2 linked regions of the Canis lupus familiaris genome follow. The protein of the gene in region 2 interacts with the protein of the main gene of each other region in a pairwise test. Links are inferred from orthologs where the notes say so. Each region holds a gene or a part of one and is shown on either strand. Other genes may lie near its edges.

Region 1 (4,812 bases), on a different chromosome or scaffold from region 2:
TAGCATGGGATTTCACACTTATTCCCTCCTTCATTGAACTTTGTTCTCTTAAATGTCACAGAGGAAAGCTCCCAACTCTCAGCCCTCCATCACCATAAAGAAATATAGCAATAGTGTCAGAGTGAAATATAGCAATAGTGTCAGAGTACTAGTCTGCCATTCATATCATGAAAGATTGATGTAAGAAAATTATTCCTAAAAGCCAATGAAGACAAATGACATCACAAGCCCTTGGGGAAGTAATCAGGATATAAATAAAAAAATAAATAACAATAAATGAAAATTAGTTGAGAAGCACAGTCCCAGCTAAAGCATTCTGAAAGCATCACAGATCCAGCTCCGAATTTGTAATCCTAGAGTTCTAGTGACTGTACACAGGGAAGTGTTAAATCTGAACCAAGTAATTAGGCAATCAAGACATCTAACGAGTTCAGTGTCTAGAAAGTATATGTCTATTCTAGATGCACAGAAAAAATGTGAATTCATTACAAGATATTTTTTAGGCCTTAAATTTAGGGGATTAGGGCTTGATTCCCTCCCAGAACCCTAGTTGAGTAAGGCTACTCTAAAAGGTGTTTGTTCACACAACAGTAGAAAGAATGAACCATCAATGTAATAACCAAATGATATTTAACTATAAAACCATCATCAGGTAGGGGAAACACATTAAGTACGGACTTCTGAAAACTTTTATTTTATTTTGTCAGTTCCTTTAATCTGCTCAAAACACCATTGAGAATAAGAATGCAAAGCTTTTCCAGCCCACCTAAAAATAGAAGCTAAAAAGAAAAAAAAAAACATTTTAAATTTGTTATAGATTCTTGTCTATTGATTTTGCGGCACACTGAATCAGGTATAGATGACTGAGAATATCCAAGTCCAACAATAACACTCTGGAAAAAAGTGAACTCCCAAAGACATCTGAGTATTTACCTGATGCGATCATAGACTTACACATTTTAAGTACCAATTATTTGTTCCCATCTATGTCAAATGTTACTATAAATCAAAATTCCTTCTTGTAACCAGGTAAAGTCTCTAGCACAACAGGATACTAGGAGTCAAAGAATGAATTAATTTAGCTTTCAGGGGTTCATTTCCAACACTGTCTCAGGGCTCTTTGGGGCTAATCTGGCCAGGAAGCAAAGTCTAAAGTGGCTTGCACTCTGGGGTAAGCATATTGGTCCTTCACTCCAAAACTGCATATGTCAAAGGCACTCTGCCTAAAAAACTCATAAATGCACTAAAGCAATAAAAAACATAGAAAAAGTAGCTCCATGTTACTGAAAATATGGCCTAGCTTTAGATCATTTAAAATATATGTCAAATTTAGTGAAAAACTGAAAAGGTCTTTTTCTCTCCTTTCTGGAATTCTAATATTTGTTCTCAAACCTTCCTAAATTCACAGATCCTTTTATCACCTTAACAACTATAATAATGCCAGTGAAAGAGCTAGCAGATTCCCAAGAAATTACCTCAAGGATTTTTAAGACACAGTGTGAGGAACATATATTTTCATTCTGGTGGGATATGGCTGTATATACAGAACAACATTTTTAATGTGTGGTCAAAATATAAGTCTACACTGAACATATGTGGAAAAGATATTTAATTGTAAAATAGAAAAGTAGGCCAGAGTACAGTTTTAAGGGTAATTGCTTCTTTATACAGATGGTAATCTAGAAGGGTCTTAGGGTTAAACATTTTCATAAAGCAAAAAGACATTAAAAAACAAAGCAAGAAAAAAAGAGTTTGAAGTTCTGTTTTACAAAAAAAGAATGAACAGTATGTCAGAGTTTAATGTCCATACATTAATGTGGAATTCAACAATATTGTGATGAGAGCAAGTCACAGCACAGACATACAGCTTTCACAGGGAAAAGTAAAAGTTATGTTAGACATATCTATAGCATCACCGTAGTACAAAATTTCTTGTTCTACATACAAAAGCATTTTTTTCCATAAGAATAATTTCTTGGGGGAAATGAGTCCATGAAATATTTCAGAAACCCATATACTCTGAGTATTCCAAAACATTATCTTAAAATTCAGTGCCTTAAAGTGCTTTCATGTGGAAATCATGATGGAAGGCACAGAATACAGTTTCACATCCCCACTATGAAATTTTCAAAAAAGAATAGATTTTGCAGTTTGCAAATTCAAGTTATCTTGTAAGCTGCTCCTTCTAAGAACATTGTCATTCCAATAAAACCAGCTGCTAGCTTACTTAACTTTCAATGACCTACCGAATAAAAGGATTTTTTTCCCCCTAGTTAACTTTCATCATCTGTGTGGGAAAAATACCTATGCAAGTGATGCATTTTGAAATTATAAAACATGCAGAATATGTACAAACAGAAATTTTAAAAAATATTTGCTTCATATACATGTAAATCTACTTGGGTATAGCTGAAATTGAACAAATATAAAAATTTGCTTTCTAAAAAATGTTTTCAGAGAATCTGAGACAACTTAAAGCTGTACAAAGATTTCCTGGGAGAAATCTTCTCTTCATATAGAAGTTTATACCTACAGGAGTAATTCCAGCATCAGTCCACCACATAATTATTACATAACGTTTGGTCTAATCAACAACGATCACCCTTAAAACTGTTCTGTGTCTGAGAAATTAAGGTTCATACTAAAATCAAAAAGAATTCACAAAAACAGTGGCTTATTGTGTTTTTGGATCTCTTCAACAATCTTTATAACTCATTTGGAACTGTAAAAAAACAAAAACTATTTACAGAATTCAGTTTTAAATACATTTCACAACTTCTAAAGTAAAGTTTTATGTTACAAGAATTCAGAGCTCATGGCTTAAGTCCGATCATCGATCTGTAGTCTCTTCTGTTATCCTGGCTTCCGGCGACTGCACCTTGCTGTGTACAGTTCAAGACTGTGTTCTTTCTTAACCAAAAGTAAATTCAAATTATGTGTTCATTTCAACTACACAGCTTCTTTATTAGTCTGAAGACGAGTCATAGCTTCTAATTTTTGTCTGTAGGCCTCTGCTTCCTGCTCTTTCTTTAGAAGCTGCTGTCGGTATTTTTGTGCTTCTCGATTTGCTTCATCCAGCTGTTTCTGAAGAGCTTCTCTCTCCTAATTAAAAAAAAAGGTTTTTTCAATTTTTGCATGAATACATGATTAACACATACAAGCATGCATCCTTCAAGCAGAAAAATCTGTAGGAGCTAGATGTAGCCACCTGTTGATATTTGCGAGACATCTTGCCCTACCAATTCACTGATAATTAAAGCTCCAAATTTTGTGTTCCACGCTATGACATAGATTAGTTTCTGACCTCAAGGAATCATTCCCTAATTAAAAATAAGATTAACATAATGAACCCAGATTGTGGACTTGTGCTTTTATATGTATGATAAAGACTAGTGAAGAGCTTTAAGAGAGAAATATTACCTCTTCACATCTCTGTGATGTTTTGATGTACAGGTATAATAAATTATAAAACAGTTAACACTTATTGAGTACTCATCATGTGAGTAAATAAGGTGATTTCCAATAACAAGCCTCTAAGACAGTGATGATGCCCATTTTACAGATGAGGAAAACAATGCTTCCAGACGACATAGCTTTTCCATGATAACACAACTGGGTTTATGAGATTGTAATACTACTGCTTTTAATACTATCTTCCCCTCTGGTAACAAGCAGGATTCCTCATCTCTAAAATGAAGAGTGTTGTTGGTCTAGATTAGTGTTTTCTAAATTATCCTATTTTACAAACCAATAAAATACTAATTTCTCTACTGTGATTCATTAAATTATACAAATATAAAATATATGTATTAAATTCCTCAATAAAGTAGGAGCTAAACACAAGTCTAGTCCAATAAAAATGACACCCTTTTCTCCTCCTCACTCTGCCCCTATTCAGTTGCCTAAGGGAAAAAATTGCAAAGACTCCTTTCTCACATCTCTAGTACATGGACAAAAGCTCAACCTGCACAGGCCTAAGCTCAACTTCATTAAGAGGCCTGGGACCTCTTAGTGGGATGGGTGGGGGACTCAGGGTGGGACCATTATTGATCCTAAGAGATGCCAGATTCACACTGGACAGGACACTTGACCAGAGGAAACTGAAGGTGAGGGGCGTACTGGGGAAGAGGACAGTAAGGAGGTCTCTTCCACTGCTTCCTCAACTCGTCCATTGTGAACACCAAAAGATTCCCTCCCTTTCACTATTCACATGGTCTCCAAGGAGGAGCAAATATAATACTCCTTCCTTCTTTGATCCTGTTCCCTTCCCCATATTGGGAATAAAGCTAAATCCAACATATATTTTTCCCCTGGATCCACCAAATGTGGGGATGACTGATTACACATGTAGTCTCCAAGTCTTCCATTTACATAAAATGTACAAGAAATGTATGCATCCTTCATCTCCAATTTAAGAAATGCCCACATCTTACCCTGCTACCTACCCATTTTTTACCCACTTCTTACCCTTACTCCAGGCAAGATGGCCGAGTAGGAACGAGTCAGAAAGGACACCCAGGAGTCGAGCCTCAGGTAAACAATCAACACCACTACCTTGGCAGTGAACTATGGAGGACTTTGAGCACACCAATGGAAAAGGTAGGAGAGGGGTGCTGCTTCTCCGGGAGCTAGATTGCCACCTCTGGAGTACTCATGCCCATGCATAAGTGTTTTAAAATTTTACATGTGTTAAGAAATAAGATCTTTTGGTAAGGAAAGTTTTGAATTTGGTAAGAAATATTGGAACACATTCTCTAAGATATCTCGTCATACTAGCTATTCATTAACATTTAGAAACAGCAAGGGATTCAC
Region 2 (5,826 bases):
GAACCGACAAGCCCCACCGTCCAGGAGCAGGATGCGTGCGTGTGAGGGTCGCCGTTGACGCGGCTCGGCCACAGGACCTACAGAACGCCGAGGACACGGGCTTTAGAAACAGACCCGCCTCGGCTCGACTCTGTGTGGCTGCCTCATTGCTATTCACCTGTAAAGTAAAGACAACCGTGTTCACCTCCCAGGGGCATGGGGAAGGTCAAAGCAGCCTGTGCCTGGTGCTGCGGGATGCTCAGGAGGGAGAGAGGCCCGTGTCACAGAGACGCTTCCGGGATGTGCACCTGGGGGCCGGCGCCCCAGGTGTGGGGAACACAGGTGAGTGACTCATGCTCACAAAGGAGTTTCTTGAGGCCTCTCCCCTCCAGCACAAGCTTGTATTTCCTGAGCTAACAAGTCACCATGATTATTTTTCTTAAATGCTGCAGAGAAAACAGGTGGAAGTATACTAAAAATGCTCACAGTGGCTCATAAGCTGGTGAGATTTGAGGTAGTTCTTTTTTCTCATCCCTGCCCTATGAGGTTCTGTTCCCTTTACCTAAAGCTTGCTTTCCCACCCCTACCCCCACCCAATTCCTGCACATCCTTCAGAAAACAGCTCAAACAACACCCCTGCAGGGAAGCCCCCCTGACCCACTGGGTTAGTTCCCCATCAGAGCACCCCAATGCACCTAACCCTCTTTCTCTATAGATTTACACACATCTGCGTAAACAGCCAGGCTCGTGACACCCATTAGATCTCCAGAACCCAGCCTAGTGCCTGCAACCTAGAATGTTCTTTTTTTTTAAAGATTTTATTATGTATTTATTTATGAGAGACACAGAGAGAGAGAGGCAGAGACACAGACAGAGGGAGAAGTAGGGTCTCTGTGGGAAGCCCAATATGGAACTTAATCCCAGGACCCTGAGATCACAACCTGAGCCACCCAGGCATCCCAGCCTAGAATGTTCTAAATAAATGGCTGAAAATGAGTTCTAAATGCTTGAGAAAGTGACTTCATTCTTTGCAGCTTGAAACAGAAATAGGAAATGGGTGGTAGGGTGGGGAGGGCAATAAGGTAGACTCAGTACATCCACACTTGTCTTGGGTGACACCACGTAGCTCTCAACTATCAAAGAAGCATGGCGGTCCCTCAGATGGCTTTACTTCTCCCTTGATCACAGACCCCACTCCTGATGCTCCAGCCCCACACAGAGCCTCCCTCTGCAAACCCTCCCTGCCCACGCCAGTCATGGAGAGGCACAAGGGTCCCCCGGTCCTGGGATTCCATTTCCAGCTGAAGGAAAGGAGGCACCTGCAGAGGACATCATGTGACCGCCGGTTGGGTAGACAAGCGAGCGCTACGTCATGTGCTCAGAATGTGTATCTGTGAGATGGCAGGACTAGAAGCCTTCTTAGAGGCAATTCTCCTCCACCAGCCTTCACCCACCTTCTAGACAAGGACAGTGAGCCCCCTGGTACAGAAATGGGCTTCCCCAGGTCACGTTGCACTGTAAGGATCTAACTGGACAGGTGTCTGTGCATTTAACCCTCAATTATCCTACAGCTGAACTCAGAGAATGGGACTTACTCATCACTATTAAGTGACATTATAGGGTGTCTCCCAGATTAGCTCCCAGACCCAGGACCGAGGTACTTATTTCCACAGCTGATGAAGAGCCACTTGTAACAGTCAGAATCTCTTTCCAAGAATGACCCTCTGCTGAAGACAGCTGCCTTGCCCCAGGCTGTGCCCTGATCCTAGGGCAGCCCACAGACATGATGGGTCATTGCAGGTGTACAAAACCCATGGGATCAGCTGGATCATAGCTGCATCCTGCCCAGCATCTCCTTCTGGGAGAAGGACACACAGATGGTGTCCCCAGACACACTCTCCAATGACCTTCCTACACGAATTGCTGTCTCAGAGGCTTACCAGAAAACCCAACCACTCATGGCAATGTGGCCAGGGACACGAAGCGGCAAGGCCTCCCCAGAAACAAAATGGTTTCACCAAATATTGAGCACCTACTGAATACCAGATCAATCCCAGCCCTTGACGACTCCCCAGTAAATGCACCCATGTGGTCCATAGCCAAAGGGAGACATTCCAAATGCTAGACCCCCTGGCTGCAAGAGAGAGGGTGCATGGCTGCCTGGCCATGGAGGGCTCCCTCCATCCCCAAGCCCTGAGTGCTCTGTGAGGGCTGCCATGGTCCCATAGGGCAGGAGCATGTACAGGAGCTGCCCTATTCTGGGTGTCACTCATACGATGCTCTGGCCATCTCCATGTGTGATCTCCGTGATTGCTTCTATAGTCCCAAGAGGTAGGAATGAACTCACAATATCCATTTTGCAGAGGAGGAAACCGAGCCTTGGAGAGGTTGAATGCCTTCCCCCAAACCAACTAGCCTGTGCATCACAGCGCCAAGACCGCATCCCGGGTGGCTGGACCCCACAGCCTGGTTCTTGGTCCCCACGTCCCACTGCCCTCCTTCAGACTTCAGAGATGCTTTGATGCAACCTAACCAATTGGCCTCTGGGCTCTGGCTCTATCGTCCATATCTCCCTGGAGCTGGAACACTCAGAGTGTGCCTTTGACTTGTCTCATTCCCCCTTTTTAAAGAAAACCATGTGTTTACTCTCTGATGCCAAAGTTACAACAGGGCTGAAGCTTTGCCAGTGTTAACTTTAAACGTTGGGCAGAGGGGTTAAAACCCTCCCTGGTGCCTGTTTATTTGTGTTTCCAGAGCAAAAGGAGGTCGGCTAAAGAAATGATCTCGGATCTACTGGGCTGTCCCTGCAAGAAGGCAGGGAGTCTGGCCGGGAGACTCAGGCCCCTCCCAGCCTCACCTCTGCCCTCCCCATGCCCAGCTCTGCAAGGCTCAGATGGTCCCCTGCTCCATTCTCCCCAGACACCAAGCAGCTCCCTCTCCTGTCCTGTTTCCTGCTGGGACCAGAGCTCAGCGAGTGGGGACCCTGACAACTGCCCATTTATCTACTGATGTCCCTGCCCCTGCTCATTGAGAGCCACACTCACAGAGGAAGCGAGGGCTCATAAAAGCCAACTGCCCCGGCTGTTCTCATCCCCTCGGGGGACCTGCCCTCACCCGTCACCTCTCTGCCAACCAGCCTAGAGAGCACACAGGCAGCTCTACAAGGACAATGCAGACAGACAGAGATGTGTCCTGCTGCACCACACGTGCACACACACGGGCGAGCGCGCACGCGCACAAACACACACACACACACACACACACACACACACACTCTATGGCATTATCAAAATCATGCTTTTCCATACCCCTCCGGGAGGATGTCAAGAAGAGGCAAGCCCTCCATCCCCAGCTCCCCGGGAGCCCCCGAGAAGAAGCTGCACTCACCATTCTCCCTCCGAGGGAAGATTCTCTTCTGCAAACTCATGCCGTGCAGGGCTTTGAGGATGGGGCTGAGCCAAAAAGCCCCTCAGAGCCCCAGCCAGATTGAGAAGTCCCGGGGATCACCGGCAGCTCCTGGGCAAGGAATATTTGAATAGGAGTTAAAACTCCGAAGTAGCTCCTCGTTAGAACTGGTTTTCCCCCCGGCAGGGAGGGAGGGAAAAAAATCCCTTTCCCTCTGCCAGCAAATCTTTAAAGTCTCACAACGGTTGCTTCCAACCCCTGCCTTTCTTGCGAAGCAAATGTTCATGAAGGCAATGTTATTTCACTGAATCAAGCCCTCAGATCATAAGCCTTTTCCTGTACCACAAACAGAAATGTAAAACCTCAAACTTTCCTTTGGACTCAGACTCTGTTGGGAGCGGACTGAACACAACCCTCTCTGAGGTCGAATGTATGGAAAATGTGCTAAACGGTTTAGATCATCCCAAGCACTGGACTCGGCTCCCCACCTCCCAACTTTTTTTTTTCTTCTTTTTTTAAATGAGTTCTGGTGTGTTTATGTAATTGCAAGGGACAAACACAACACCTAAAATCTCTGCCCAAAGTTGAAGTGATTCATTTTCTCCTTCACACACACACACACACACACCACACACAAACACAGCGCCTGTTTAATCCAAGTGAAAACGCCTTTCATAAAATCTGCTAAGGGCTTGGGCAGAGCGGCTGGTGGTGAATGCAGCCTGTGTCCCCAGAAGGGCAGTTGGGCTCCGGGGAAGGTGGAGGCTGCCTTTCATCAGAACAAACAGAAGGCACTCTGACTCCCGCCCGAGTCGGGACAAGCAAGCATAAAAGAAAAGTGGGCACGAGCCCTGGCTAACTGAGCTGTAAAAATGTTTTCTGCCCACTGTACCCAATTTCCCCTGTTTGCCTTCTCATACCAGGAGATTTTATTTTTAGACTTGGACAAGATGTACTATTATTTTAAGTGACCGACTTGATTGCCGGGTTATATAAATCCTTGGATTCCCCACCGAAAAGACCAAAAGAATATACAATAAGTGGGCAAAGAGTCAGAGCTGGAAGCTGGGGAAGAATGTGATGGTTTTGGGAACGCAGACATAGATGATTGGACTGAAAGGAAAGCCTGATCAATCAGATAGGGAGAAAAACCCACCAGGGAAGCAAGCGACACAGACCTGGTCCAGGTCCGGAGTTACCTGTCACCTGCCAAGAGCCCCCAGTCTTCCCAGGTTAGGCCCCAGCCATGGCCACCACCACCGACAGCCCCTGGACCAGGGTCAAGGCCACCACGGCTCAGGTCCTTGGAGTCAAAGGCTCCCGAGTTACGACCGCTGTGCTCAAACCACGCCCAGGTCACGATGGTCCCTCTACCAACACATACGCCCCACGTTTTCCCATAAATAATCATTCTTCAGACCAGTGCCACAGGTTGCCAGAAAAACCTCTGCTGTCAGCACCTGGAGTAGGAACAGCTCCCTGACAGTCATCCCCATCCTGGGATGAGGGTTGGGATCCGGGCTGGCGTGGCCCCGCTGCCCGCCCTACCTGGCCCTGAGCAACCAAGCAATAGCCCAGGTCCCGAAGCTGCAGGACACCGGGGCTCTGTCACCAGCACCGCGGGGACCAGAACCTGGCTTTGCCTCCTAGCAGGACGCGGCCATAGCAACACAGAGAGACAGGGCTACGTAAACAGGGAACGCTTTGCAGAAATTAAAATGATGCGATAAAGTAAGCTTTACTATCATAGAAAGATGTCTGCATTATATTGCCTCATGAAAAGAATAGGGTGCGAACTGCAGAGTGTATGCTCTATAGATGTGAAAGATTAAATTTGGAGAAGTAAAATTATGGGTGTTTTCCTCTACGAACTTCCCAGTGTCCATGCTGATACCCCCACAATTCAGGGAGCAGCTATACCTTTCCATTCATACCACCTAGAGCACGGTAGAAAATTTTTAATTAAAAATAATTTTTCTGGGCAGCCTGGGAGGCCCAACAGTTTAGTGCCGCCTTCAGCCCAGGGCCTGATCCTGGAGACTCAAGATCAAGTCCTGCATTGGGCTCCCTGCATAGAGCCTGCTTCTCTCTCTGCCTGTGTCTCTGCCTCTCTCTCTCTCTCTGTGTCGCTCATAAATAAATAAATAAAATCTTTTTAAAATAATAATAATAATAATAATAATAATAATAATAATAATTTCACTTTAAAAAATAATTTTTTAATTGAGTCACTGGCTTTAGAACTTAGTCCTAAATAGATTTTGTCAAGTTGATAGTGAGGACTATAATTTTGAAAGTCATGGCTTTTGATCATATGAATTAAGCCTTTGACAAAGGAGTTTTTATTCGGAGTGGTAGGCAGATTATTGACCCCTACATAAAAGGTCCACATCCTGTAGGAGGAATCTTTGAATGTGTTATGGTGCTTGGAGGGGAGTTAAG

The links.
Region 1: the proteins of IL16 (region 2) and GABPB1 interact in binary tests that used the Homo sapiens proteins (3 or more experiments, as listed by UniProt). The two-hybrid records come from large-scale screens. The link is inferred for Canis lupus familiaris from reciprocal best matches to the Homo sapiens genes IL16 and GABPB1.

Annotation. Positions count from the first base shown.
Region 1 is NC_049251.1:16,528,207-16,533,018, forward strand, and holds the end of GABPB1 (GA-binding protein subunit beta-1), read right to left. Parts: intron 3,103-4,812; coding exon 2,950-3,102; 3' UTR 1,593-2,949; downstream 1-1,592.
Region 2 is NC_049224.1:57,050,136-57,055,961, forward strand, and holds the start of IL16 (pro-interleukin-16), read right to left. Parts: upstream 3,861-5,826; 5' UTR 3,407-3,860; coding exon 3,367-3,406; intron 1-3,366. UniProt on the Homo sapiens protein: Interleukin-16 stimulates a migratory response in CD4+ lymphocytes, monocytes, and eosinophils. Primes CD4+ T-cells for IL-2 and IL-15 responsiveness. Also induces T-lymphocyte expression of interleukin 2 receptor. Ligand for CD4.